7 linked regions of the Danio rerio genome follow. The protein of the gene in region 1 binds, or shares a complex with, the protein of each later gene. Links are inferred from orthologs where the notes say so. Each region holds a gene or a part of one and is shown on either strand. Other genes may lie near its edges. The genes, in order: kat2a, wdr5, taf5, supt7l, dr1, tada2a and tada3l.

Evidence for each region.
Region 2: kat2a (region 1) and wdr5 share a complex: the UniProt entries of both Homo sapiens proteins name them as parts of the ADA2A-containing complex. The link is inferred for Danio rerio from reciprocal best matches to the Homo sapiens genes KAT2A and WDR5.
Region 3: kat2a (region 1) and taf5 share a complex: the UniProt entries of both Homo sapiens proteins name them as parts of the TFTC-HAT complex. The link is inferred for Danio rerio from reciprocal best matches to the Homo sapiens genes KAT2A and TAF5.
Region 4: kat2a (region 1) and supt7l share a complex: the UniProt entries of both Homo sapiens proteins name them as parts of the STAGA transcription coactivator-HAT complex. The link is inferred for Danio rerio from reciprocal best matches to the Homo sapiens genes KAT2A and SUPT7L.
Region 5: kat2a (region 1) and dr1 share a complex: the UniProt entries of both Homo sapiens proteins name them as parts of the ADA2A-containing complex. The link is inferred for Danio rerio from reciprocal best matches to the Homo sapiens genes KAT2A and DR1.
Region 6: kat2a (region 1) and tada2a share a complex: the UniProt entries of both Homo sapiens proteins name them as parts of the ADA2A-containing complex. The link is inferred for Danio rerio from reciprocal best matches to the Homo sapiens genes KAT2A and TADA2A.
Region 7: kat2a (region 1) and tada3l share a complex: the UniProt entries of both Homo sapiens proteins name them as parts of the STAGA transcription coactivator-HAT complex. The link is inferred for Danio rerio from reciprocal best matches to the Homo sapiens genes KAT2A and TADA3.

What each region holds. Positions count from the first base shown.
Region 1 is NC_133178.1:16,326,468-16,331,413, reverse strand, and holds the start of kat2a (histone acetyltransferase KAT2A), read right to left. Parts: upstream 3,378-4,946; 5' UTR 3,281-3,377; coding exon 3,062-3,280; intron 2,191-3,061; coding exon 2,067-2,190; intron 1-2,066. UniProt on the Homo sapiens protein: Protein lysine acyltransferase that can act as a acetyltransferase, glutaryltransferase, succinyltransferase or malonyltransferase, depending on the context.
Region 2 is NC_133196.1:19,691,249-19,695,251, reverse strand, and holds part of wdr5 (WD repeat-containing protein 5), read right to left. Parts: intron 2,938-4,003; coding exon 2,854-2,937; intron 2,721-2,853; coding exon 2,665-2,720; intron 2,571-2,664; coding exon 2,524-2,570; intron 2,301-2,523; coding exon 2,225-2,300; intron 2,117-2,224; coding exon 2,083-2,116; intron 1,993-2,082; coding exon 1,918-1,992; intron 1,808-1,917; coding exon 1,720-1,807; intron 1-1,719.
Region 3 is NC_133176.1:52,726,636-52,731,407, forward strand, and holds the start of taf5 (transcription initiation factor TFIID subunit 5), read left to right. Parts: upstream 1-1,551; 5' UTR 1,552-1,583; coding exon 1,584-1,983; intron 1,984-4,639; coding exon 4,640-4,772. UniProt on the Homo sapiens protein: The TFIID basal transcription factor complex plays a major role in the initiation of RNA polymerase II (Pol II)-dependent transcription.
Region 4 is NC_133192.1:44,181,852-44,186,104, forward strand, and holds part of supt7l (STAGA complex 65 subunit gamma), read right to left. Parts: coding exon 4,153-4,253; intron 1,215-4,152; coding exon 890-1,214; intron 1-889.
Region 5 is NC_133181.1:26,446,661-26,450,913, forward strand, and holds the end of dr1 (protein Dr1), read right to left. Parts: coding exon 4,183-4,253; intron 2,341-4,182; coding exon 2,194-2,340; 3' UTR 1,979-2,193; exon of another isoform or gene 1,949-1,978; 3' UTR 868-1,948; downstream 1-867. UniProt on the Homo sapiens protein: The association of the DR1/DRAP1 heterodimer with TBP results in a functional repression of both activated and basal transcription of class II genes.
Region 6 is NC_133190.1:18,240,564-18,244,816, reverse strand, and holds part of tada2a (transcriptional adapter 2-alpha), read right to left. Parts: intron 3,365-4,253; coding exon 3,254-3,364; intron 2,961-3,253; coding exon 2,889-2,960; intron 486-2,888; coding exon 353-485; intron 1-352. UniProt on the Homo sapiens protein: Component of the ATAC complex, a complex with histone acetyltransferase activity on histones H3 and H4. Required for the function of some acidic activation domains, which activate transcription from a distant site. Binds double-stranded DNA.
Region 7 is NC_133186.1:18,282,427-18,286,679, reverse strand, and holds part of tada3l (transcriptional adapter 3), read right to left. Parts: intron 3,956-4,253; coding exon 3,852-3,955; intron 3,752-3,851; coding exon 3,651-3,751; intron 2,895-3,650; coding exon 2,703-2,894; intron 1-2,702. UniProt on the Homo sapiens protein: Functions as a component of the PCAF complex. The PCAF complex is capable of efficiently acetylating histones in a nucleosomal context. The PCAF complex could be considered as the human version of the yeast SAGA complex.

The sequences.
Region 1 (4,946 bases):
CACCAGCACATGTAACCTGTAACATTCTAGGTTCACAATAGTTCAGAAGGTGATGATAATAGTTAAACATGGCAGTTTGTTTGTTTTAGGTTGCTAAAAGAATCATTTGCTACTATGTTTTTTTCAAGCTTCTTTGTTTTATCTTGCTTCCCTCTCCTGTTTGTCTGTTTCTGAAAGGATGTCAGAAGCACTTCAATAATCATGCGCGTGTTAACATCATCAGCTCAAGTTCGTTATATTAAATATAGACGTGCGGCGAGTGATCGCGAGCTCTCTGGAGAAAGTAAGACCACTCGCGCTTTTAGACAGCCTCGTAAACAACAAGACATGGCAGATTTTGTTCGTCTTGGCTTTGAGGCTGTTCATCCAGACATCATAGTCATAAATGTCATAGTTAAAGGTTTGTTAATAGTGAGAATTGAACCACAAATTCATTCGTCAAGTCATTTGGTAAAACTGAATAGATAAAATATAATCGCAATACATACAATTGAAGTCAAAATTATTAGCCCCCCTGAATTAATAGCGCCCCTGTTTATTTTTTTCGCTAATTTCTGTTTAATAGATTTCACATTTCTAAGCATAATAGTTTTAAAAACTTATTTCTAATAACGTATTTATTTTATCTTTGACATGATGACAGTAAATAATATTTTACTTGAAATTTTTCAAGACATTTCTATACAGCTTAAAGTGACATTTAAAGGCTTAACTAGGTTAATAAGGTTAACTAAGCAGGTTAGGGTAATTAGGCAAGTTATTGTATAACAATGGTTTGTTCTGTAGATTATTGAAAAAAAAATTGCTTAAAGGGGCTAATAATTTTGTCCCAAAAATGTTTTTTTTTTTTTTTTTAATTAGTAACTGCTTTTAATCTAGCCGAAATAAAACAAATAAGATTTTCTCCAGACGTAAAAATATTATCAGACATACTGTGAAAATTTCCTTGCTGTTAAACATCATTTGGGAAATATAAAACAAAATCTAATCAAATCAAAAGGGGGCTAATAATTCTGACTTCAACTGTACATATATCACAGGAAAAAAATATATATATTGCAATGTTGGATTTTTCTAATTTTGTGCAGCCCTAATCCCTGCTAAAACTTATCACCAGTCTTCTTCTTGATAGCAAACAAAGCTTCATGGACCTGTATCATGTAATTTGGCTTCAGGCGTACTCACACTGCTATCTGAACCGTGTCCAGGCCCATTTCCCGGTTCGTTTTTAGATGTCTGCGTGTTCTGAATCGGGCTCAGGTGCGGTTCAGTTGGCCAGCCCTGGCCCGTTTGGAAGAGGTGTGCCAAAGTGCTTCTCTTGGGCTTAGGTGCAGTACACTTGTAGTGTGAGTGCAAGTACACCTGAGCCCGAAACTGAAGACATGACGTGACTTTTATGGAATTGTTTCATATGTGTTTAATAAACATTCTTACGGTTCAATGAATGCAAACTGTCGTAGTTTATAAAAAGACTTAAACCCCTCACTGCACATCAGCTGCACCTTCAGCAAACCTCCTAATACCTGCAGCACAAGGAATTTATGACTGTTTATGAGCGTCAAAAGTGGCTGATCTGTTCGGCGAATTATTTGACTGTGTGTCACTGCATCTCAAACGACTAAAATTATATAACGATATAAAGGAATCTCTACTGTGCTGAGCGAGAGCGTTTCTCTTCTGTTAAACTGAACAGTCGCATCATCGATGACGTAAGCATCTCCGGCTCGGATACAATGTATGTGCAGGCCATTGGGGGAGAGGGAAGGGGACAAGCGTACTTCGGCACATGTTCAAGGCAACTGTACATAGTGTGAGTACACCCTTAGATTAGCTGGCTAACCAGTTGACTTTCAGTTTAGTTTGTAACAAATTCTGAATTTAGATACCATAAAGGTAGCTCATCTTAGCTTTGCTGCCCTTTAATACCATGGCAAACACTAGTGATTAATGTTGAGCTGCCTTCATATTACTAAAAACCCAAGATTGGTGCAAACTAAACCAACATTTAACTGGCTAGTCAGCTAATCCAGCTTCACGGTAGAGGCCCCAGGTCTGATTCTTCCTACCCAAAGAGTGTCCACAGCTTCGGCAGGTCTCCGTCAGACTGGCGGCCTGCTGCTGGAGCTCCATACGAGCCGCTGTTGGTGGATTGGGGTTTTTCCAGCCATTGCACTTGCAAGCATCATTCGCCTGAGATAAGAAGAGTGCAGAGGAATCAGACGCTAAACATCAGAATAACACAATCAAAACATTCAGAGTGGCAAGTTTATGCAGTGGTGATAAAAGGATAAAATACACTACCTGACAAAAGTCTTGTCATCTATCCAAGTTTAGGAACAGCAAATAATAACCTGACTTCTAGTTGATCATTTTGTATCAAAAGTGGCTTATATGAAAGGCAAAGGTCTGTAGATTAGTTATTTTCCTAAATAAACTATGATCATGCCTTGTTGTATTTGTATTTCATTAGGACAGTAAGGTCTGACTTTGCTTAGACAAAAGTCTTGTCATTTAACAGAAATAATGTACAGTATAGAATTTAAAGTCATGGTGGAGTGGAAAAAGAAAAAATGTGTTTTCAGACCAAACATTTAAAGTACCATGGTAAACAATACAGGGAGCATGTCATTAAACGAATGTACCGATAATTTAAAACCAACTTTACCTCAATAGTAAATAGTGAGTAAATTTTAATCTCTTTAACGCAATTTTTAGATTTTCGAGCTAGAAATGCATGCAAATGAATGTCTGCTTAATTATATATTGTCTAATTTGCACATTTAAACACAACATTAAAGAAAAGCTTTAAGTAAAACTAAAAAATAGCAATAAATGTGGATGTATGGTGAAAAATGTTAGTAAATTGTTTTCCCAATTAAACCTGCAGTGCCTCATGTTTACCCTGCGGTATGTCATGTTTAAGTTTATGAGTATTATTCTTACATAAACAGCATTAGTAAGAGGTAAAAAAAAAATCGTGAGTGTGGATGAAGATGTGACACATGTCAGGCCCGGTTTCTCTCTCTGTCTCTCCATTGTTATGAGGCGAGCTCTCGGTTACCTTGCAGGATGAAAACACTCCGAGTTTCTCCAGCTTTTTCGCCCGCGGAAACGAACGGACTTGGGCTTTCTTCTGGCTGGACCATTGCTGTTGGCTTAGGCCCGGTCGGGCCGGGTCGCTGCTCCCGGCTCCGGGGTTCGAGTTGGAGCCGGTCGGGCCGCTGGACTGCGCTTGCTGAAGCCGGGGCTGCGCGGAGCTCTGTGCCGCCGGGTCCGCCATAACAGCAGCCACACTTCCCCTACGGATCTCCGTGCTCACTCACTTCCCCCCTACGGATCTCCGTGCTCGTTTCCAAACCGGGCGGCTTGAATAAAGTTTTGTGATGGTTTTCGACAATGAGGGGATGCTGGGAAATGTAGTATGCAGTAGTTCGTAATTAAACGCTACAACTTTCCACTGGGGGGCATTAAAGAGACAGTTCGCCGACACCCTCAATTGTTAGTCAATGCAGGTTTTTCGTCTTTCTTCACAATATCCTGTTTTATCAAACTTCTAAATGTTTGGAAACATTTGAAAGGTAAAGGTTCATTTTTTTTGTGTGAACTATCCCATTAAACACTTCCCTGCTGGAAAAAACTGCTTAAACCAGTCTAGGCTGGTTTTACCTGGTTGGCCAGGCTGGTTATGGAGGGGTTTCGGCCATTTCCAGCCTGGTCATAGCTGGTCAGGCTGGGAATGACCAGCTAAAACCAGCTAAACCTGGGTGGGAGCCCAAAGCCAACTCTGTCCAACTTAAACTTATACTTAAGGCTGGGTTTAGCTGGTTTCAGCGGGTCATTTTCCAGCCTGACCAGCTAAGACCAGGCTGGAAATGGCCAAAAACGCTGGTTTAACGCTGGTTATTGTTGTACCAAATCACTTATACATGTATTCATAAAACATATATTTATATCAGTGCATTTATGTTAATTAGCAGAATGTGTTTTGATGTTTCAACGGCACCATTTTAATGTCTAATAATAATAATAATAATAAAATTATGTTTGAGTAAAATGTGTGTGCATGTGTGAAGGGTTGGACAATGAAACTGATAATTCATTAGTATGGTGTAGGGCCTCCTTTTGCAACAAATACAACATCAATTCATTTTGGAAATGACATACAACTGACTCACTCCTCCAAAACAACCCCAAAGTGGCTCAGTAATATTTAGGATGGGTGACTGTGCAGGCCATGGGAGATGTTTAACTTTGTCACCAGTCCTGCAGTGTGTATTGGTGCATTATCATCCTGATACACCACCTTCAGGATACAACGTTCAAATAACTGGGTGGACATGATCCTCCAAAATAGTTCGGTTGACCTTGGCAGTGATGCACCCATCAAGCACAAGTATTAGACCTGGGGAATGCCTTGATATTGAAGCCCAAACCATCTATGATCCACCCCCTATGCTTCACTCTGGGCATGCAACAGTCTGGGTGGGATGCTTGTTTTGGGGCTTCTCCACACCGAAACTCTCCCGGGTGTGGGAATGACAGTGAAGGTGGACTCATCAGACAACAATACGTTTGTCACATTACATAATAACAACATGCTGATGTAAAAATTGCATAAAAAATTACACCATCTATATTCATAAAATCATAGAAACTTCTACTTGCATGATAACTTAATCATGACTGACTATGAATAACATTTAGTGCCAAAAAAAAGACTATAAACAAAAGCACCGACTCTTTCACCAACATTTAAGAAGTGCATTAAAGTTTAAAACTGCAAATATTCTCCTGGACTCACTATATTCATAGCAGGAAAGGGAAAATACCTCTGAATTAGCACGGATATTAATATATAAGAGGTGTCCTGGTGGCATAGTGGGTAGCACTTACAGCAATAAGGTCACTGGTTTGAGCCTCGGCTGGATCAGTTAGCATTTCTGTGT
Region 2 (4,003 bases), on another chromosome or scaffold:
TAATAGAAAGGGCTAAAGGGTAGAATTGGACCTTAAAGTTAAAGGTTCATGAAACACCAAAACACATTTTTTGTTATGTTGACAGTCATATATGTGTTCTAATAAACACTATAGACACATATTTCACAAAAAAAAAGTGATGGTTGTTTTTGCTTTATTTTAAGCAAATTTGTTTTCTCAGATTTGAAACTAATTTTTGAAGCTACGTCATGGCAATTAGATCCTTATGTGTAATCCAGCATGGAGAGTGGATGTCTGTACTGGCAAATACATCCGAGTCCGAATGTGCAGCATTAATTCATGAGAAAGACTTGGTTCAAACCAATTAGCGCGCTCTATTGTGAATGAGGTGCAACTTAATTAATATGCACGATAGCTTCGAAGACTGTTTTTACCTAATAGAATGTTCAGACTGCAGAGAGACACCACGTTGTGTTGCCAAAAAAATGGAAAAACAAGAATTGTTTGGAGACATGGGTTGTCAGTGCTTTTTTTTAGAAATGTGCTGCAACAAAGGTTTTGTTTCAATTTCGTGCTATGAGAGTGCAGCTGGACTCACTTGTGGTTTACAATTCATGCGACAGAAATATATTTGTAAGGAACATTTTTTACCTGAAAGCTTTTCGCATAAGGAAATGGGGAAATCTGGATTTGCCACTTGTATCCTTTTAAAAAAGATGCGGCTCCAGTTGGTGTTGATTGTCTTGTCTCTACAGATTTGTACTCTTTCAGTTTTTAGAGACATACCTTAGTCAAAATGATTTAGTTACTAAGTTTACAGTTAGTTAATATCAATAGAATATTACAGACTGAAAGATCCGATGTAAATGCTGCTCTCCGAATGTAAACACCACAATCAAACTATTACCGTCATATAGAATTTTTGCCGCATTTTGCGACAGGATAGCAAGCGCTGATTTTCACAGAGGCAAAACAAAAAAAGACGCAGGGGAGAAAGACAGTGACTATGTTTACATGGACATCAGTAATCAAATTATTAGCCAAATTAATAATTTTCAACTTTAACTGCAGTTTGGCAATTTTACTTTCATTCAGGAACATTTCATGCATGCCTCCTGTGACAAATACTGGATGCAAGGAACTGCTGGAAAAGTGTAATTTTAAATGGAATGTTATCTAGTGAATTTGACACATGAATGACGCAAGTAAACTCAAATATTCACGCACCATTTATTCGCTCATGCCGCATCTGGTGTGAACTAGGGTTGTGCGATTAATCTAAATTGAATCGCGATTTTAAACGTTACAATTAGCTAAGTCGCAAGAAGCTGCGATATGAAATATATATGTATTATCTAATTTCCCCCGCCCAGAACTTGACTACTACTTCACAATTAGATATTTTCCCCAAATCGCACACAGCATGGTGAACACAGTGTGAGCACAGCATTATAGCAATCCGGCAATACACGTTTAAACCATTTCGATCTCTACATATGTGCTGCATTTGGATTAAATTGAATTATGTTGTAGTTACATTTAACATTGGTCAATTAAAAACTACAAAAAAAAAAAATCTAAAATGAAAATCGTGAATCATTTAAACAAACCTTTTTTGACATTATTGCACATCAATAAAAATATCACTCAAACACAACAAATTTGTAACGTAGCACTGCTTACCTGGAACTATTAGCAGGAAGTGCATTAAGCTCTAGGTAAAAATGCTTTGCTAACATCCACTGAACTTGCTCTTACCTGTGTGGCCCTGTAGTTTCTGTACAATCTCCTTGGTCTGAAGGTTCCAGATATAGACCATGTTATCTTCTGAGCCGGAGACAATCCACTAAAAATAAAGAGCAAGCCTTTATCACCATTTCAGTTCACATGCTCATGTCGAAAAGTTTTAGCATGTCAAGAGAGGCAATGGATTAGAAAAGTGTAAAGCCAACAAACCTTTCCACCAGTGACAGAGAAATTAGCAAATATGCAGTACTTCTCGTTTTTATGACCGGTGTAAGTTTTCAGACACTAAAAAAAAAGAAAATATTATTGTTATACACCGATTGAGAACTTTTTTATTATTAAAACAATGCACTAAACAAACTGAGAAACACTTACCTTTCCTTTGCTGTAGTCCCAAAGCTTCAAAGTACTAAAATATGAAGGGAATGCATGTGGATTAATAGAATTTACTTTAAAGTTTTCTTCTTTTTAAATAATACAATTAAATGTTGAAAATATCAAAATGTCCTTGACTTACTTGTCCAGAGTGGCAGCCAGGATGTACTTGCCATTGGGGGAGAACTTCACAAATGACACTGGTGGGTTGTCGTCATCTGATGAAAAATTGGAAATGTATACATTTTAATGATTGTTTATGCCTCTTTTAATGTCTTTCTTGTTACTTAGCGTACCTTAAAATTAACTGTGTTATACTAGTTTCTTATTAGCCTAAAGTTATTTATGCATATCAGATAAGAACAGATAAACACAAATGATTGCCATTTACACAACAAATCTAACCTTGTTTGTAGTCATTTTAAATGCTGATCAACTTACCAATAAGTGTTTTAAGGCACTGGCCTGATGCTGTGTCCCAGATACGACTGTTTAAGTCAGAAAGTGGGTATGATTGTTAGCTTTTTATTTCTGAAATATTTTTTCACTCTTGATTTTTTTTCATAGTCAAAGTTCACTCACCAAAGTCCATCATAACTGCTGGACACAATCAATGAGCCATCTCTATTGAAATGAACCTAAAAAAACAAACAAACAAAAAAAAAACAAATACACAATTATAATTCAAAGAAATCACTTAAATTGATGTCAGTTGTACACAATTGTGAATTGAATCATCCAGATGAAGTAAAAAAAAAAAAAAACACTAACCGCAGAGACAGGGTCTGAGTGTGCTGGAAGTGTCTTCAGACATTTCCCCGTTTTAACATCCCAAATCCTCACACTCTCGTCAAACTGCATTGGAGAGAAGAATTAACATGTATTAGGGGTACAATGTATGAAGTCATTAGCTATGTTTCCATCCACCTATTTTTATGCGCATATGCAAAATAACGGTTGATATAATAACAGTAAAAAACGGTTGATGGAAACGTCATGATGCGCATGAATTTTGAAAATGTGCATAAAAAAATTATGCGCATAACTGAGAAGGATAAACATTATGCAAGATATGCATAAACTACAGAGGAAACGCTTTTACTACACAAATTACAGTATGCACAATTTAAAAAGGTCATGTGATTTTGTTATAAGAGAACATGTGATAAAAATCTAAATCATGTGATTATCATGTGATAAAAACCAGCAGGCTGAGCACACTGTAAAACATTTGAAATTTAGTTTTGGTCATTCTAAAATGTCTTACCGTTTAATTATCAGTGTTATTATATTATTAATGATCTCCAGAATCAAGAGTGTCTGTGCTCCGCGTCTGACACCTTAAAACGCCACCCCGCGTTCACTGCATGTGAGAATTGTCTTCTTAGGCGAAAGTCATTAGATCAAGAAAAGATTGATGCAGCTTCTCCAACTGCAGCAAATTTAGTTTTTACTGTTGATATTTGGCAGCAGTTAATCAGGAAGTGTGTAATTTGTTCGCTTTGACTTGTTGGATGGAAACGCTGCTTTATTTGGACGTCTTTTATGCGACAATCCAGTTTTGCGCAAAAAGTTAATTTGCAGTTTTGGATGAAAACAGCTCTTGATTACAGTTTTCAAGAATAGAGAAACAAAGCTACAACTCTGAACTCAAAAGACAGTTTTCTATTGCAGAGAAGGGTATTGTTTGGCGCAGCTTTTACATTTACATTTTGGATTTACACTGAAGTTTAATACCAATTAATGTGGATATCTAAATTTGCGCATTGAAGTCATTGTTATTTATTCTTGGTCAGTTCGGCATCTCTGATACCAAATGTAAGGAACCTCTGGACCTCTTCTAATGACAAGGATACTACCATTTCAGGTGTTTTTTCTTTCAGTGGTATAAAATGATTTAGTCGTGCAAACTAATGATACA
Region 3 (4,772 bases), on another chromosome or scaffold:
GGCCTGTAAATGGTAGGAAAAAGGCCATTCAAAACCAAACAAATGCTGTCTCCTTTTGAAAATATATATGTATGTCTATATGTAGCAATTCAATATACATCTATCATATATTCAACAATTTAACTAAAAACACATTCAAGCCTCTCTTCCCTTGTTTTGTTCATTGTATATGATGAACGTTTAACAATCAAAAATATAACAAAATCATGCAGTGAAGACATTCAAATAACAACAGAAAGACAGAATAATAATAATAATATAACATTTAAGTAAAATTTAAATAAATTGAATAAAAAACATCCATAATTACAAAAAAGGAGTTTAGTTTTTAAAGTATATACAAAATTCTGAGAGATCACTGTTATTGCTGGATACATTTTATGTATAATTTTATTCCACAAACTTTATTAGTGACACACATTTGTTTTTTGTTTTTTTATATGTATATTTTTTATATCTTTATATATATATATATATATATATATATATATATATATATATATATATATATATATATATATATATATATATATATATATATTATTGCACATGCTGAATATTTAAAAATAAAACCATAACACAAATTTGCAATTATGACATCCAAATCATAACAGAAAACAAGACAAAAATCAAATAAAATGAAAGAGAATTTCATTCAAAAACAAAACGTCAGATTTATATCTTTGTATTAGTATATCATTCTTTTTCTTTTTGGCTTCGTCCCTTTATTAATCTGGGGTCGCGACAGCGTAATGAACCACTAAATTAACCAGCATATGTTTTAAGCAGCGGATGCCCTTCCAGCTGCAACCCATCACTGGGAAACACCCATACATTCTCATTCATACACATACACTAAGGACAATTTAGCTTACCCAATTCACCTGTACTGCAGGTCTTTGGACTTGTGGGGGAAACCGGAGCACCCGGAGAACATGCAAACTGAATGCCACACAGAAATGCCAACTGACCCAGCTGAGGATCGAACCAGCGACCTTCTTGCTGTGAGGTGAGCATGCTACCGACTGCACCACCGTGTCGCACTATTAGAATGATGTAATGTTGTTATTACTATTATTTTGTAGGGTGAAACGGTGGCTCAGTGGTTAGCACTGTCGCCTCACAGCAAGAAGGTCCCTGGTTAGAGTCCAGGCTGGGTCAGTTGGCGTTTCTATGTGGAGTTTGCTTGTTCTCCCCGTGTTTGTGTGGGTTTACTCCAGGTATTCCCCCCCCCCACAGTTCAAAGACATGCGGTAGTTGAATTGATTTGCCGTAGTGTATGTGTGTGAATGGGTGTGTATGGGTATTTCCCAGTACTTGGTTGCAGCTGGAAGGGCATCCGCTGTGTAAAACATATGCTGGATAAGTTGGCAGTTCATTCCGCTGTTGTGACCCTTGATGAATAGACTAAGCCGAAGGAAAATGGATATTATTTTGTTTATTATATGCTGCTTAGATATATAATGATGTATATGTTTAATGAATTAAAGTTCACATGAAAAAAAAATAAAAATAAAACGTCAGATTTACGTCAGACGTACCACATGCGTCATGACGTAATCACATCCAGCGCCGGGGGAAAAATGGCGGCTGTGCAGGATGGACCGATGGAGGTGGACGCAGAGAAAGAGACAAAACCCGAAATCCTCAGCGATGGGACGGCAAATCCGTCGGGGAACACCGGCGGCGGGACTCTGTCCTCATCGCCACTCACCGCAGCCCCGGCCGCCGGAGCCCCGAAGCCGGAGGACCAGCAAACTCTGCTCGCGGTGCTGCAGTTCCTGAAGCGAAGTAAACTGGCGGAATCGGTGGAGATCCTGCGGCGGGAGGCTGGTTTAGCAGAGGAGCTGGAGGACTCGCATACCGACGCCGGTGCAGGAGGGAAGGACGGAGACGCAGGAGATACAAAAACTCTGCTCAGCCGTGTGTCCATCGCCGGTGCAGCCGCCCCGCAGAGCACACTCACCCCCATACCTGCGAAGAGTGAGTGACAGCCGCAGACACACACTGATGCTGGGGCATCACTTTTATTAAACCCACTGAATGATTAAATGCACTAGAACAGAGTCATCAACAGTAGTTATTTCTAGAAGATGTAAAACAGTTCTTTTGTAGCACCCTCACCACCTGATGAGGGACAGTAATGTTATTGAAACACTGCTTCTGTATTGTTTTTTTTTTCTTTGAGTAAACTCAGCTGTATACTTTCACAGCATTGTAACACAGCATATGAAAACAACTTTCTTTAATTCATTCATTTTATTTTCGGCTTAGTCCCTTCGTTAATCAGGGGTCGCCACAGCGGAATGAACTGTCAACTTATCCAGCATATGTTTTACGCAGCGTATGCCCTTTCAGCTGCAACCCATCACTGGGAAATGAAAACATCTTCACAAACAATATTATATACATCTCAAAAACTTTCTGAATATTTACAGACAATTTTCCTGCACAAAATTGTTGCACATTTAATATACAGTCATTACGGAATTCTTCATAAACAAACTATTCACAGTTTAATTGTCATATACCATATACACAGTCATATAACCGACTCGCATACATATTTCACTTTTTACATATACATCATAACCCACTTTACATGAACTTTAAACATTGTAACCAGCAATGAGAGTTAAAACATCACTTTGTAGCTACTCTTTAACTATACCCCTTTTATTAGCTGTTATGTTGATGCATATAATGACATTTAAATGATCCCAGTAGCTGTTAAAATTAGAGTTTATATACACTATCGAGTTGTTTTAATAGATGACACTTGTTTCTTATCACTGACACACACACACACACACATATATATGTATATATATATATATATATATATATATATATATGTATATATATATATGTATATATATATATGTATATATATATATATATATGTATATATATATATATATATATATATATATATATATATATATATATATATACATATATATACATATATATATATATATGTATGTATATATATATATATATGTATGTATATATATATATATATATATATATATATATATATATATATGTATATATATATATATATATATATATATATATATATATATATATATATATATATATATATATATATATATATATATATATATATATATATATAAAACCTTAATAATTAATTTTTTTTTCATTTATTTATTTATTTTTTTAGGTTCATCTTAGGTCAGACATTAAAATATACATAGTAATGATACATATAGATATATACACTGATACACTTCACCAAACAAGAAATTATCAGGAAAACATAATTATGCTCTAAATAAGTTTATAAATAAAAGGTAAAATACCATATTTACACACAAAGATATACAAACATAAGAAAACATAAATAAAAAAATTAATAAACAATACAAAGAAAGGTAAAAGGTAAAAAGGCGATTAAGATATAGGTGTCTCCTTTAAAAAAAATGCATAAAAGGGCTCTAGACTTTCTGGAACTGTTCTGGCTTTTGTTTTATTGTAAATTGAATCTTTTCCATCTGAAGAGCATGTAGGAAATCCAAAACCCATTGCCGATAAGGGGGAGCTGCTGACTTCCAATTCATAAGAATAAGTCGTCTAGCCAGTAAGGTTGCAAAGGCTACGCTATCGGCCTGTAATGAATTTAATTCAGCATATTCTGGCAGGATTCCGAACAGCGCTGTTAAGGGGTTTGGGTCTATTGACAATGAAAAAACAGCAGAAAAACACCTGAAGATTTTCCCCCAAAAATCAGACTGTTTGAAACACGACCAGAAAGTATGTAACAGTGTGGCTGATTCGGTTGTACAGCGAAGGCAAGTTGGGTCAAGATCAGGGAAAATTTTATTCAGTTTTGTTCTAGACCAGTGTATTCTGTGCACAACTTTAAATTGTATGAGAGTATGCCCAGCGTTTATTGATGATGAATGTATTCTTGCAAGAATAAGATCACAAATATTTTCAGCGATTGTTAAATTCAGTTCCTCCTCTCAAAAAGCCCTCAGTACATGTGTTGTGGGGGACTGTTTTGTGTTGATAATAGTAAAGATTTAGAAATGACCCCTTTTGAAGAGGTATGAATGTCGAGTAAATCATCAAGTATACTTTTATTTGGCACAATGGGAAAATTAGAAACTGCTTATGGATAAAGTGCCGTGTCACTGACATGTATTTAACACATAAGTTAAAAATGAGGGACGATATGTTATTGAAACACTGAGCTGCTGCTTTACGTCAGAGTCTGTGGATAGTCTGTGATGTAAATCGTTGCATTCCATTGATTTACAACATAGATCAACTATTAAACATTTACTTTCTCTTTTCTTTTACGTAGAAAGAAATGTACACATTTAGAAAAAGAAATTAACTTTATTATTATTTATTATTATTTTTTTCAATTTTTAATAATTCTTAACCACTTCGCTTTATTCTGCACAAAATAAGTTGCATCAACAGTGTTTCTCAGCGCCCCTTATATATATATATATATATATATATATATATATATATATATATATATATATATATATATATATATATATATATATATATATATATATATATATATATATATATATATATATATATATAGAAATATGGTGTGGTTTGACAGACATTTTGTTGTTGTGTTCTGCAGGTGGAGACGACCAGCCGGATGTCAGTGTGGTGTTGTCAGCGTACAGCCAGCAGGGTGACCCGTCTCTGTATAAGGTGTATTACAGTGACTTGAAGAAGTTCATTGAGTCGGTGCTGGACTGTCACCGGGCAGA
Region 4 (4,253 bases), on another chromosome or scaffold:
CATTTGGGATGCAGTTACAATCTTTGCAATGACTCAAATAACTTATTAACAAGGTCATCTGCAAAAGCAAAGAAAGCATTCTTGCAGAACTCCCAGAATTCATCAAGAGTCCTTGGATTCATCTTCAATGCCTCCTCCTTCATCTTACCCCATACATGCTCAATAATGTTCATCTCTGGTGACTGGGCTGGCCAATCCTAAAGCACCTTGACGATCTTTGCTTTCAGGAACTTTAATGTGGAGGCTGAAGTTTGAGAAGGAGAGCTATCTTGCTGAAGAATTTGCCCTCTCCTGTGGTTTGTAATGTAATTGGCAGTACAAATGTCTTGATACCTCATGCTGTTGGTGTTGCCATAAACTTTGCAGATCTCTCGCATACTGAATGTAACCCCAAATCATGATTTTTCCTTCACCAAATCTTGGGTCCATGTGGGTTCCAATAGGTCTTCTGCAGTATTTGAGATTATTGGGATGCAGTTCAACAGATGATTCATCTAAAAAAGTCTACCTTCTGCCACTTTTCCAAGTGATCAACGAGAAGTCAAGCTATTATATGTTGCTCATACAACTGGGATTGATGACAAGACTTTTTCTTTTTCGGTAGTGTATTGTGCAGCCCTAATAATCACCATTTATTATAGATCATATAACAATTGTTTAGACCTTTAGAAATTTGAATGAATGAATGCCCTTACTCTTATAATTTACATAAATAGAAAACAAAATAGGTCCCGAAATAGAACCTGGAGAAACTCCTTTAGTTAGGTCAAGAAAATTATGTGATCATTTTCATGCCCAAAATCAGCACTGTTATGTTCATGATCAAGTGAATTAAATGCCTTGTGTACGCATGTTTAGTGAATGAGACACAATATTAGCCATGTCTCACCTGCAGCATGTAGCTGTGATAATCTTTGATACGGACTTGCCAGAAACGCTGTAGTGCCAGGATGCTGCCGATGCCCAACTCATGGAATACCTGCTCCAATACATCAGGGAAGGCAGTAGAGCCCTGGCAGGCCTCCCTGTCAACAGCCACACGCAGCAACTTGGTGAGCCGCAGATAGTGTTCATGAACCAGGTCAGTTAAAGTCTCCAGTACGCTTTCGTTGGCTGACTCGAATCCAATATGAGCGAGCACTGTGGCCACTGACTGGTACAGAAGCTGACGGCAGGATGGCCAGCTAAGCTCAGTGACTGGCTCACCTTTACCTCTAAAAACAGTCAAATATAGAGAAGTTAGAAAAACAGGTAAAAGACAGAAAGCAAAGGATATTGAATAAGAGTCATATAGACCAGTGTTTCTCTGCCACGTTTCTGGAGGACCACCAACACTGCATGTTTTCCCCGTCTCATTAACCAAACACATCAGATTTAGATCATCAAATCATTAGCAAAGACTGAAAGACCTGCAATGGGTGTGAAAGGAAGCTTTCTGCAGGTTTCAATTTAAGACATTTTTAAAATTTATTTTTAAGACTTTTTAAGACCATTATAAATGAAATTTTAGACTCATAAAGGGCTAAATGCTAATGCTAAATTTTAGACTCATAAAGGGCTAAATGCTAATTTTTTTAAATGGCCTAGATGGAAAATATTTTTATTTGCCCTATTAAAAAAGTATAATAATTTAATATATTTAATAATGCAATAATAAATGAATAATAAAAAATGTATACACTTTAGATACTTCTTAACAAAGTATACAATGTTTTTCCAACATAAACTTTCTTTAAAATAAAAAAAATAAACAAATGTTTAAAAAAGTTTTTAAACCTAAAATAGACTAAATCTATGCACAACAATCTGTCCAGGTCTGTGTCCTCAGCTGTAAATACATGGAACACTTCTAACAAATGGTATTGTAAGGGAAATAATAAAACCATTATGGTAAATAAAGTTCAAAGATACCTTTTTAAATCTTTTTTTTATTTTTTGACCTTTTTTAACCTTTTTTTATTTTTTAACCTTTTTTAGTTTAGTTTTATTGAGATGTACTGTTAGTGTTGGTTAAGTTTTTGGGCAGTAATGCATTAACAAAGGAAAATTAAGACCTGTTAAAAAAGATTTAAGACCTACAGCACAATATTTCAGTAAATTTAAGACTTTTTAAAGCCTAAAATTTCGATTTTAAGATTTAAGACATTTTTAAACTTTTTAAGACCCTGCAGAAACCCTGGAAAGTCAAAGGAGACATCTAAAACATTCAGTGTTGGTAGTCCTCTAGGAATGTGGTTGAGAAACACTGATATAGACAATTTTGAGGGATGCAAATAAAAACAACAGTCCCAATATTTTTCCTGTTTTATATTTTTTCATTTCTATAGCTTAAAAGAGCCACAAATTGATAAATATTGATATACTAGTTGTTTTAACATTAAGATATGCTTAAACTGCCTCTTGTTACAGTTATGAAATAGTTTGATAACAAGCAGGAAATGTTCATGGTCAATGATATGACCACATTGAAATAATCTAAAAAAAAAACTAATAATAGAAATGTTTCAAATAAGCATGTTTACATTTGTGGCTGTCCAGTGTTTTGAATATATCACTGGAAAGTGAATTTGTTGAAATGTAAATATACAAAAAAGTTTAGATTTTTAGGCTCATTCACAAGTACTTGATAATCGTAGAATTAATACAATTGAAAAAATATATATATATTGTGGCTCAGTGGTTAGCCCTGTCACCTCACAGCAAGAAGGTTGCTGGTTCGAGCTGGGCCAGTTGGTATTTCTGTCTAGAGTTTGCAAGTTCTCCCTGTGTTTGCGCGGGTTTCCTCTGGGTGCTCCGGTTTCCCCCACAGTCCAAAGACATGCGCTATAGGTGAATTGGATGAACTAAATAGGCTGTGGTGTATGAGTGGGTATGAATGGAACAGTGTATGGGTGTTTCCCAGTATTGGGTTGCAGCTGAAAGGGCATCTGCTGCGTAAAACAATAGTTGGCGGTTCATACTGCTGTTGCAATCCCTGATCAATCTGATCAAGCCGAAAAAAAATTAAAGAATGAATAAATTTGATTAAGTCCAGAGATTGTTTTTTTTATTTTATTTCTCAGGTTAAAGGTTTGTCATATTGCATATGCTGTATGAAACTGTGTGACATTTAAATATCTTACTCATCCAAACATATATTCTACCAATGATAGAAAAATACTAGGATGATTAAACGAAGTAAACAAATGAGAGGTGTGGGTGTTTGTGGATGTGTGTGTGCAAGTGTGTGGGTGGGTTGTGTGCAGCAAAGCAGCCATATCTGTTTTTGCTTCCATAGTAACAGTAGACCCTTTTCACATTTCTGGGTTTCTTAGTAGCGGAAGTTGTCATAGTTGGGTAAACTTAGACTGCAGTGAATGGGAGAATACAACAAATATTTTTTTACAATCTTATTTGCTCAAATAATGAAAGAAAAACTCCATGATGATGTTATAAAGACTTTCATAAAAATGAAAATTGTTGTGTGAAACTGATAACGGCAGCCAGAGGGGAGAATTATGTTAAATTTACTATCCTGTCCAATAGACGCTTCATTAGAAACGCCTCGCACAAGCAGTAATTTGTTTTTTGTGATTTGAAGCAAAGATTATATAATACATATATAAAAACATTTAAATATTCATAAGTTTTTTTTTTTATTTAAATATTAAAAACGATCAAGGATTTAAGATGCTGATGACCGTCTTGTAAAAAGGGTCCGTTGCCAGAACTACCTGGTAATTTTGCTAAATAATAAAACAGTATATTTCTTTGAATTGTTATACTTTCTAATAAAAGTATTTTTAAAGAAAATGTGTTTAATGTGTACAGTAATGTGTAATATATTCAAAAAGTTCTAAAAAAAAAAAAAAAAGCATTAACGAACTGAAGATTTGGCTCATCGGCTGTCAATCTGAAGATAGGATGATTTTATTTATAAAAATCATATGTTTACAATTACCAATATGCAATATTAAAGACGCAAGAAACTATATATTGTATTTAATAATGTAAAATAGCTATTTTTATGTATGGGAATGTCATATTTTAAGTTTAGAGATTGGGGTTCATTCGGGTTCGTTTGATTGACAAATTGGCCTAATTTTGGACTACTTTGGATGGCCAATGTGCTATTTTTGTTGTGAAAACCTGGCAACCCTATTTTTAACTTACTTGTAGAAATCACTCTCTGGGTCACTGTGGCGTAGCTGGAACGGCAGTCGAGGCGCTTTACTGTCTAGTGGAAGCAGATCATCAGGTACAGTGGGTGTGGG
Region 5 (4,253 bases), on another chromosome or scaffold:
ATGATTATTCCAGTCATTTTTGCTTTTAATACTATTACCATTAAAAATAAGAATAATAACTAATACTAGAGTGAATTCTAAATGATAAGGTGACTCTAAAGAATGGAAAAATTAAGCTGAAAATTCATCTTTAAAATCACTGGAATAAATTATTAAATTATAAACTAATTTTAAAGTTATTTTCTAGTGCGATAACATTTTACAATTTGTACTGCATTAATCGTGTATGGCCATACACCCAAAGAGCTCCACATACATGAGCGGGGTACCCTCTCTACACCACCCCCAGTGTGCAGCATCCACTTGGACGGCAGCCACAGGACAGCGGCGCCAGTGCACTCACCACACACCAGCTGTAGGTGGAGTGGAGAAACAGTGGTAGAGCCAGTTCGGTGATTGAAATGATTAGGAGGCCATGATCGTAAGGGCTGATTGAGGGATTTTGGCCAGCACACTGGGGTTACATCCCTAATGTTTTTACGAAAAGTGCCATGTGATTTTTAATAACCACAAAGAGTTTAATGACCTTTCAGTTTTATGTTTCATCCAAAAGACGGATAAGGATAAGATTATTTTAAAATATTGAAAAATCTACTGACCCTAATCTTTTGATTGGTCGTGTATATTATGGCCAAACTGACTCGATTATGCATTTGTAAATAGTCACAGCTCCAAATAATTTCTCCCTGTAATTTGTGTGCATTTTGAATTCAACATGTTTCGCCTTGCGCATTTAACTTCCAGTGTTAAAATTATGTTTTGGTAATCGCTAATTTTCCAATTTATTTATTTATTTTTTTACAATTTGCAACTTGTGAGATTAGCGTAGAATTTATATTAATAAAAAATACACAAAAACAGGCTGTCTATAAAATGGGTTGACTTTATTGCTTAGAGAATACAGCTTTTGCAAAGGCATGTGAATACGTTTCTCAACTACACCATACCAGTCATCACAAGATATGAATTAACCACACATTCACAACTTTTACACATTGCACCTGGAAAAAACAAAACATAATCTGCTATCAAAAAATTGTACAAAGTGTGAGTTACAGAGAGCTCAGTGATGTCTGCAATTAAACGCTCTCATGTCATATAGAGAACAAATACCATGAGCAGATTTCTGAAAGCCTATCCGGTGACTGATTTGTTAATTATTTTTTCATAGTTTCATCTATCTTTGGTACTATGAGACAGATATTATTCTGCACGTGTAAATCTTTTCCTCGGAATACTGTTCTGAACACAGGGCAGGTAAAAGCCTATCTACATCATCTTTATCCTCACTTGAAAGTAAAAAAAAAAAAAAAACGAACCAAAATGCAACATCCTACATTACAAATCACGTTCTCTGATATCGCTCAGCAGAACAAAGAGAAATACAGAAGTGGGGATGAACGGCTGTAAAAATCAGTTACCAAAAATGTTCCCCAATTGTGTCTCTTTAAGCTATTTTACAAAGACAAATATAAGAGAAATACGCAAGTCACCTAAAACAGGACGCAGCGATTCAAAACGCCAGCTCCTGTATATAACCAATGGCGTGCCTCGTGTCACAGCCACATCACATGACTAAACATCCTTCCCACACACATACACAAAGAAACTTATGACAACTGGCTTTAATTAAATCACAAAAAAATAACTGGAGTTTCAAGAGCTAATGATTCTAGTTAACAAGTGAACTGACGTGAACGTAGCAAAAAATAAAAACAAAAATGAATCACAGGAGATGACCCATGACTGCTTCTAAACCGTCAGTTTATACTGCTGATCTGGGATTTTAAAAGTTTATATAGGAGACAATACTGCAGAGCTTCTTCTCTGCTAAGGTTTACGGAGGGCTGAGTTGTGTGTGGGAGACAGTACATGTCTGTATGTATGTATATATATGTATACATATATGTATATGTATATGTATATATATATATATATATATATATATGTATATGTATATATATATATATATATATATATATATATATATATATATATATATATATATATACATATATATGTATATATAGATATCTATCTATATATATATATATATATATATATATATATATATATATATATATATATATATATATATATATATATATATATATATATATATATATATATATATATATATATATATATAATTTGTAAATCTATCCGTGTGCTTCAGCCAAAGCCTGCCAGGATTCACATGTCGTCCTCTTCATCTTCATCCTGGGAAGATCCGGCCTGCTGAGTGGAACTGGCCGAAGCCGCAGCTAACTGTGCCTGCTGGGCGGCCTGCTGCATCTGTAACCACTCCTGCTGTGCCAGTTCAGCCTGTTGCTGCCGTGCCTAAAACACAGCAACACTCATCAAAAGCCATGTGGAAGCTTGTTACACAAATATGACAAGTTGTCTATTCAATTTGTAGGCAATTTACAGTGTTGCCAACTATTTTCAATGAAAATGTGCTAAGCTCTGCTTACATCAAATACATCAATTTGCATTTTACTGACATCATCACGTCCAGTAGTTTTTGTTTAGCAGTCTATGGTTAATAACAGGTTATTTATATTTACACTAGGCTTTATATGTGCAATATATGTCAATTTAACTAAATGTATTGTTTGAATACAGTATATCAATATAGATGTATAATGAATTTGCAGTAATCTCCCAGACACAATAAACTCACAAAAGTTCAGAAACTCACTAAAATCTCTCTGATTGTGAACAAGAAAAAAAAAAACAGCCAAATTAAATTGTTAAATTTAAAACAATGGAGAAGCAGATCGGTTTGACTAACTTTGCAAAGAAAATGAACACCACTGGCTGCTAGTGTGCTGATGACATCACTGACAGCGTTTCAAGCTTCCAAGGGAGCATTTAAAAATATAGTCAATTAGCTGAGCAGATTGATAACTCATCTGCAAGGTTCAAGTGAATAGAAACAGAATTTTTCATTTTTTTAATTTAATAACTCTGAAAAAAAAACTAACAAATCCTCAACACCTGGACATTTCCTAAATATCTGTGTATTTTTTTTAACATTGATATTTTTTTAATTGACAAAACAGTAAAGAACTGAGCATTTCTACCTTTAATTACCGTATAGGTCAAAATGACTGCATGCATGCCAGTTACTTTTCACTGTGACTGTAAATATAAATGCATTTTTTGCCTAGCAACTTCCTTCTAACATAAACATAACTTTCTGCTTGCAAAAACTCCAGATATATCTTTCAAAACTGCATTTTCTGTGTCATGAAATTGCTTCTGTTTGAAAGTGAAAATGAAGGCCCAGACCTTTGCGTGTTCTAGTATTTAACTAAATATTTACAAGCTGTATTACTGAAAAAAATAAAAGTTTAGGGTAATGGTGTGAAAATGTTGACAGGCATTCAAAGGCTAATTTTAATATCTTAAAAGAAGTTTAGAATGTAAATATGATGTGACAATATGATGTTTTATATGAGAATGGTCAGAATGACCAGTATACAGAAAAAGCAATGATCCAGTTACAGAATTCTAGTTCCACTGTTATTACAGCCTATTCTCGTGTCTGTGTTAACACAAAATGAAGCGAGTGCATCGATGCCCATTCTGGCCAATCACAGACATTTCTGTTGAGCTCCTGAGCACACGTTCAGCTCATGCTGATATGCTCTCCCTCATTGGCTGCAGCTCATCACTTCATATGAACGCGCGTGGGGTCGAGTCGGCCGACTGCTCTGGAATATTCAGCATGCTAGATATTGTATTTCTGTCTGCGAGGTGTCATCAAGCCTTTTTGATCCGTTATTCAGTAGTTCATAAATAAGACTGCAGAGCGCCGAGCACCAGGAAATTGTTTTTCCCGATCACAGTCCGATCTGTCAGCAAGCTCGTTAACTTTCAAATCGGGCTCAAATCAGGCTTAAAATCCTTTAGTGTGAACTAGGCTTAAGAGTCCATAAAAAATCTCCAGTAACACCAAAAAAAGTTGCTAGATTTTTTGTTAGTCGCTTTTTTTTTTTTTTGGAATATTTGCCGCTAAGGGGGTCTGAAAAGTCACTAAGTTGGCAACACTGGTGATTTAATGTAATTTGTGTACCTTTTTGCATTAAAAAAAAAAAAAAAAAAAAAACGAGAAGGCACCAACTGCTAAGCTAAGAGTGAAATCTTTAGAATTAACCATTCGGCATGCATTTTTACCTTAGCAAATAATTCCTGTTGTTGGCGGAGAAGTTCTTCCTCGGGAATGCCAAGGTTCTCTAGTCGAGAGC
Region 6 (4,253 bases), on another chromosome or scaffold:
ACACACTATATATATGTATACATTTTTTTCATTTATTTTAATATATATTTTTATATAAATATATATAAAATAATCGTTTATTAAAATTAATTGAGGTAAAATGTTCAATTAATCAAGAGTTTTATTTTAAGCCAAATCGCCCAGCCATACCCATTTTGATCTCAAAAATGTAAAAAAAGATGAGGAGTTTACATCCATGAACTCAATTTGTGCTAACACTCCTTATTTTAGCATTTTTCCAAACTGTGCTGAAAACTAAGCAGCACTGAGGCAGGGGGATTCATGACTCATGTAATAATACATTTTAACATAAAGGAAGCAGTATTGTGAGTGAGTGAGGAAGAGATCTTACATGGCAGCTTGTTTGTGCAGCCACTGCTGGCAGGCGCGGGTGTCATGAATGTACTGCAGGACGTCACAAAGCATGTTCCTCTTCCTGCGCTCATCCTCTCGTGTGCGTTTCACTCGCTCATAGACTTTAGCACCTGCAGACCAGATGACAGGTGTCACTTCAGATATGAACATAGATCTCTGTATGTGAGATCTGGCTAGCATTATCAAAAAGCTGTGGTCAGAGCGTATGGACCATATTCAGATGAGATAGTGCTTGATTCTGCTTAAATCATCACTTGTTGACTGTGTTCTAATTTAAACTGCCTCTACATGATTTGGAATTACCATCCACAAAAAATTTTAAGTTGATCTTTTCTAAACATTTGTAAAAATGTAAAGGAGTGAAAATTGTTCACTGATATCTAAATAACAGGTTTGTGGCTCAGGTAAGCAAAAAAATAAATCTCCAGAAACAATCTTTAAGCACTTTTACTCAGTATACGTGTGTTTGTTGCCTCATCACAAATATACACAGCGAATTATATACTTTAAACTAACAAAAGAGAGGAGTTAAACAGACCTTATGCCTCTTCAAGGTGGTGCTGAATACGTTTTTAATCCGTATATCCTGCATTTTGCTTTCTGACAAGTTGTGAGCACTTAGTGGTCATGCATAGCTGCCTACTTCACTAAACTGTTCCTTTTTTAATCTCCCTGCCTGTTCCTATTTTCAAAACAAGAGACCCACATGCATAGTATGTTTAATACAAGCTTATATAAAGTTAAAAATAAGGGGAAAATAATAATTGATGTAATCTCACTAGAAAACGTTGTGGCCAATCAAACACTGCCTGGGGCGTTCATTTAATTGATTCTGTGTGGATTGTCAGAGTTTGTGTTTTGTTCCAATTGGCCGGATTTTCACTGGGATTTTGCACTCACAGGATTTGTTGGAGAACAATAACACATTGATATTTGAGGCTCATGATATGTAATTTCCATGAACTCTTATTATTCAGCTATGCCTAGGTATATCCAAAATGTCATTCTATGGCACATTTAAGAATTTTCTGACAACTTGAATGTTACTTTCTCAACTCAATACTAGTCACATATTGTTTATAATTAATTATAAGACTTTGCGTATCATTTAATAACTCTATATACTTTATAGCTGTGTATATTTTCACATTTATTAACTTTTTTTTTACCTTGTACTGTTCTGAATTCTGGATTATATTGAAAGGAACCACTGTCAAAAAAGTGCTCCAATGTGTTCACCATTGGTGAATGTGGTTATACTCATGACAGGTACTATTTGGTCATTACTAAGTTGGCAACCGTCAAATGTCATTTGGGAAACGGTTTGAATTTCTGGTTAGTAAAATACTGGCACTAAATTCATACACTATGTGTGTAAGTACATAAGTACACAGTGAGTAAGTGCATGGTGTGTAGTATCCCGTACTTATGACTTTTCATGACATCTGACCAATCAGAACATAACAAAGGGGGTTTAAAAAAACTGCATTAATGAACCATCTATTTTATTAACTGTGTGAAATGAGCTGAGACTACAACATACCGACCACTTTATTAGGTATACCTGTTCAACTGTACGTTAACCCATAATTTTAAATTAGCCAATCACATGGCAGCAACTCAACGTATTTAGGCATGTAGACATGGTCAAGACGATCTGCTGCAGTTCAAACTAAGCAACAGAATGGGGGAAAAAAAATTAAGTGACTGTGAATGTAGCATGGTTGTTGGTGCCAGATGAGCTAGTCTGAGTATTTCAGAAACTGTTGATCTCCTGGGATTTTCAAGCACAACCATCGGAGGATATTTGAATGGTAGGGTCAGAAATTGGCGTCAACAACATGAAAGCATAGATCCATTCTGCCTTGTATCAATGGTTCAGGCTGCTGGTGGTGGTGTAATGATGTGGGGGATATTTTCTTGGCACACTTTGGGCACACCAGTACCAATTGAGCATTGTGTCAACGCCACAGCCAACCCGAGTATTGTTGCAGGCCATGTTCATCCCTTTATGACCACAGTGTACCCCTCTTCTGATGGCTACTTCCAGCAGGATAATGCACCATGTCATAAAGCGTGAGTCATCTCAGACTGGTTTCTTGAACATGACAATGAGTTCACATTGTCCTCCACAGTCACCAGACCTCAATCTAATGGAGCCTTTTGGGATGTGGTGGAATGGGAAATTCGCATCAGTGACAAATCTTCAGCACCTGCGCGATGCTATCATGTCAATAAAGACCACATTCTCTAAGAGATATTTTAAGTACCTTGTTGAACCTATTCCATGAAGGATTAAGGCAGTTCTGTAGGCAAAAGGGGGTCCAACCCGATACTAATACATTTTATATGTACCCAATAAAGCGGCCGGTGAGTGTATATAATGATAAAACGAAAGTGATTTTTCTCCTTAGTGAATGAAAAACCTAATTTTGAAAGCTTAAAAATAGCACCGTGGCACTCTGATTTATGTTACCTCCTATGATATGCTTGTGATTGAGGGTGCATCTTACCGCAGAAGGACTGTATTCCCTCGCTCCTGTACTCCTGCAGTCTGTGGATCTCCCTCCGCAGCTCAAACTCCACTGTGAACAGTTGATGACAGAGAGAAACAGAGCAGATGGAGCGCTGAACTTTTCACCCTGGCTGATTCAGACTAGTGGGGCGGACAGACTGAACTCAGACTGAGTGCTGCTGAATGACATGAGGGCTTGTTCGTCTAAATCTAGCTGTCCTGCACACACTCACTGAACCACAAAGACACACAGGGCTAGATTGATCTCAGGTCAGCTGAAGTCTGGTAAACTAGCGAGTCCGGTAACAGCAGTGTTCTGGATTTCTCTATATCGAGTGGTTGAAAAGAGGGTTAAATACTCACAGGTGTGACTCTCGATGAACTTGTCGTGCTCTATTGGTCCCACCACACGCGCAAAGCGTCTCATGACATCATAAAGGTCCTGCACTTCCTTGGGATAACGCCTCTCCAGAACTGACAACACAGTAGATGCACAGAATTAATCAATCAATATTGGTGGGCGGGGGGACCGCACTCCTACGGCAAGTTGCGGTCGCTCTAAGAAACCGCTCCAATTGGTCCACCGTTTTTGTTGTTAAATTGAAAAAAAAAAAAGGACTGTGTGTGTTTATATCATCCCAATATGACGGTCTATACACTATACTTACACATCTGTCCAAACAGCTTGAAAAGTAGATTTTTTTTTACCATAGGTGCCCTTTAAAATCTACATCGAAAGCGGAAAAAAACAGTCCTCATAAAGCCGGCGTATCAGTGCGCTGCTACATTGAAAACAGGATTGGATTCGCACCTTCTGATTGGTTCTCGGGATATAGTGGCTTTTGCTGTCAAAGGCAAGTGGCGTTTAGCTGCTTATTAGATTGCCTAATAGATACATTTTGATCGCCACAAAAAGGAGACAAAATTGAAAATACAGACAAATCTGTTGACTCATGCATTTTACGTTCACTTTTAAATTTGCGCACTAGAATATGGATTGTTGTGTAAACTGCATGACTAGTTAAAAACATCATTCAGCAACCAATGAAGCATTTCAGTAACTGATCCTCCTAACAGTTTGCCTTTTGTTGCTGTATGCCATTTTGAGTTTTAGGCAAGTTTGTTGTGTTTGTTTCTGACATTTTCAGAATGCAATAAATTAGTTTAATATATAAATGTGCGTGTAAGGGGAAACACGTGAAACATTTGAGGACACAGCGAATGAAATTAAAGGCAGAGGAATGCAGCTTGCAACATCTTCTGGCACTTTTACTAAGTACATTTACAAGGACACCAATACTCCGATTTTAATATGATTCAGACAATACTCTGATTAAGAGTTCACCATGTAAACAGAAACTTT
Region 7 (4,253 bases), on another chromosome or scaffold:
GTACTGACTGCAAAATAATCGAAATGTGTTGTCTTAATGCTTTTTGCTTTTTTAAAAGGTTTTCCATCAAGTTTATTTAAAAAAAAAAAAGAATGAAAATTTGCATTGCAAGTTTCAGAGTGAAGCTTTTTTTCATTTACTCAATTCTAACAATCTAAGATGTGTAAATGCATCTTTACTCTGAACCCAGCAGCAGCCCTACATGTATTTATTTAGTAAAATCACAGTTTGTAAGATTTTGCATGCTAAATAAGTATATAAATGCGACAGCACATGTTTATAATACTTATTTTACTAATTCCTTCTTCTACTACTATTAAAATCACAGTTTGTAAGATTTGGGCTCTTTTTTTAATTAACTGAAGAGGAACAGAGTTGAAAGGGGTTTTATTTTTGTGCTCCTCTCGTCTTTCACTGGTAGTAAACTAACAGTTAGAGGGGTGTGGCTAAGCATATTTCGCTCAAGGCGTCAAATCGACATTACAGAAGGACTGTCATTTCAAAGTGGAAGCAAATGATTTGGTTAAAGATTACAAAACAAACAGTACAGTGGGTATAGAAAAGAATCACCCCCCTTCAAAATAATTACATTTTGTTGCATTGTAGCCTGAAATGAAGACAGACAGAGTTTTTGTTTAATCTACCTGTGTTTACTTAGTGCAACTTATAACACCCAACCAAAAGATATAACACCAACATGTCTGAAAAAAAATCAACATATAAAAAACTAAATCAATGGGTTGGAAAAAGAATCACCCCTTGATTCAGTATTTGGTTGAATAACCTTGTGCTTTAATTACAGCCTTTAATCTGTTGGAATACGTTTCTGCTAACTTTGACTTTGAAATATTAGCCCACTCCTCTTTGCAGAACTGTTCAAGTTCAGTTAAAATGTGATGGTGTCTGTTGTGGACTGCAGTCTTCAAGTCCTTCCAAAGATTTTCAATGGGGTTTAAGTTTGGACTCTGACTTGGCCATGCCAGGACATTCACCTTTTTCTCCTTTAACCACTGTGTGTGTGGTCAGTTTTTCTGTGTGCTTTGGGTTGTTGTCATGTTGGAAGGTAAACCTTCTTCCAAATGATAACTTTCTGGCAGAGGGCAGCAGATTTTCCTCAAGAATTTGTCGGTATTTTGCCCCATCCATTTTTCCTTCTATCCTGACAAGTGCTCCAGTTCCTGCTGCAGAGAAACAGCCCCAAAACAAGATATTTCCACCTCCATGTTTTACGATAGGGACGGTGTTATTTAGATGATGAGCTGTATTGGAGTTCCGCCAGACATATCGTTTGGTGTTGAGGCCAAATAGTTCAAATTAAGTGTCATCTGACCATATTTTTTTTCCCACATGGCCACAGAATCTTCTAGTTGCGTTTTGGCAAAGCTCAGTCGTGTCTGTATGTTGCTTTTCTTGAGAAGAGGCTTTTTTCGTGCAACCCTTCCATACAAGCCACATTTGTGGAGAATTGTTTATATTGTTGTCACATGCACACAATGACCACTCTTTGACATAAATTCCTGCAACTGTTCAGAGTTGTTGTAGGCCTCTTGGTTGCCTTTCTAACCATTTTCCTCCTGGCTCTTTCATTCAATTTGGAGCGACATCCTGATCCAGGAAGGGTCTGTGTTGTACCAAATACCAGCCACTTTTAAAAAAAAAATGGACTTCACTGTGCTTCTAGGCATTGATAAAGCATTTGAATTTTTTTTGTATCCATCCCCTGACTTAAGCCTGGCCACAACTTTATCCCAGGAATCTTTTGACAATGTCTTGCCACCCATAATTGATGGTTTGCTTCAGTTGCACTACCTAGGGTTAAAATGCTACAATAAAGCTATTTTCATGCTGAGCTAATCAAATTGACCACCAATGAAAGTGAAATGGCATTGTGTGTCGTTAAGAAGGTGATTAGCTACACCTGATTGAGTTTACCAGAAATTTTTAGGAGGAGGTGATCCTTTTCACAACTGAGTGATTTTGTTTTTATGCTTGTTAATTGTTTTCTGACATGTTGGTGTTATATCTTTTACATAGATGTTACACATTGCACTGAATAATTTCACCTAGATAAAAAAAAACTGTGTCTGTCTTAATTTCAGGCTACAATGCAACAAAATCTAATTATTTAGAAGGGGGATTATTCTTTTTATACCCACTGTAGCTATGTTTCTAACCACCTATTTTTAGGCTCAAAATATTTTAAAATGAGCATAAGACATGCGAATAACTGAGTAGGACATTTTATTCAGGAAAAAATTAGCATAAACTGCGATGGAAACGCTACCAAATAAATTCTATTGTGCGCATTAAAAGTCATGCGATTTTGTTATAAGAGATTATGTGATGATGAAAACGTGTGTAAATGAACAAACCAGCTGGCTGAGCACACTGTAAAACAAAAACAAATTCAATTTTTACTGTTGATATTTGGCGAAACTTAATCAGGATGTGACAATTTTGTTGTCTTTGACTCGTTGGATGGAAACGCTGCTTTATTCGCATGTCTTTTATGTGATATTCCAGTTTTCTGCATGCATTTAATTTGCATCTTCGCATGGAAATACGGCTACTTTATTTCTCAGTGCAATTAATTTGCATTTCATGCAGATTTTAAAGTTTACTTAAACCATGAGCCGGATTACCAGATATCTCATGCCAATAACAGTCTTGATGTTGATCTGATGTGTTTCAGCAAGACTCACTTGAGCAGCTCCAGTTTGCGTGAGCGGTTGTGTGCGGTCAGTGCTTTAAGTTCAGCTTGTCTTTTCTGCAGTTCGGCCAGCACCTCATCTTCAGACTCTCCTCCGACCCCTTGCCTCTCATCAGAGTCCAGCAGCCCCTGAGACACCAGCTCTTCTCTTATACGAGCCTCCAGAGAGCGTGTGTGAGGTACACTGAACACACAAAATGCTCAATTCAGCAGAATTCGAAGACGGAGAAATAAAAGATTACTAATTGATCTAAACTAATGAGACTTTCTATATTGCAAAGTCAGCTAAATATTTGCTATGTTATATATGTTTACTTTGTGTAGCCGTTGACTAGTAGCCACCATTAGTGCTACTAAATACTAAGATGTTAAAGTAAAAATAAAAATGACACCTGATTTTATTTATTACTTCTTTAATAACTATATTTACTATTTAAATCAATTAATTGGAAGCTTACCTGAACAACTAATTGACTGATCAGTCTTAATTGGCTCTATATAGCCATAAATATATATATTTATGATGTATCCTATATTCTACTGCATTTGTGTTTGCATGAGATGTGTTCTTCTTTTCAAAAAATTGTTAAAAATATAATGAAATTTTTAGAGAGACGGTTTCTGGAGGTGTTGAAAGCTTGTGGCAAGACACTCAGCGCAAGACATAACAACCAAAAATATCCTGTAGCACTGATGCTATTCAAGGATCACATTTTACCATAACAATAGTTTAGTATTAAGTAAAGATTGTGTAATATTAAGAAGATAATAAAAATCGTACTGTATTTTCCATTAATTAATGCAGCCTTACAGTAACAGCAGTAACTTTTTCAAATAAACAAAATAGACAAGCTAATATAAATCTTATGAAAGTCAACTTTATGTTGACTAAATTCTAAAACAAAAATTATGAAAATCAAGTGACAAGACTTGTTTTTACCTGAAGGCTTTCCCCTGGCTACGAGGTGACGTACCAGCTCCATCATCCTTCCCTGGAATGTCTGGAATGGGGGAATCCTCCATAGGAGATATGATGTTCTCCTACATCACAAAAGAATATGACTGAAACACTGATATAAACCAAGCAGTCAAAAAGCTGAAAGTATTGCACTATATAATTTGCAAATGAGGAGTCGCAGACCTCAACAAGAGCTTGTAGAAGTCGCTGAGTGAGCGGACCGAAGGGGCATCCGTCCTCTGGAGACTCATGCTGAGACTCAGATTTCTTCAGGAGGGCATCTACATCTAGACACGGCAGTATAATACAAGAAAAAGAAACAGATTTAAACAGGGTTACTCTATGGGTCATGTAATACCATTGAAATTTAAAAGTTTATTCCTGACAATAAAATTCAAGGAATTTTTTTTTTTTTTTTTTTTTGTCCAGGTTATGGAATATCATAGAGTTTTGTGTTTGTCATTTAAATTGGAATTTCTGTTTATAAAAATAAAAAATATAAATGGTTTCACATGCTTTGCCTATTGTTATGGTTAGTCTTTTTCTGTGCCATTTTATTCCTTTCCCACTCATCAACCAGCAATC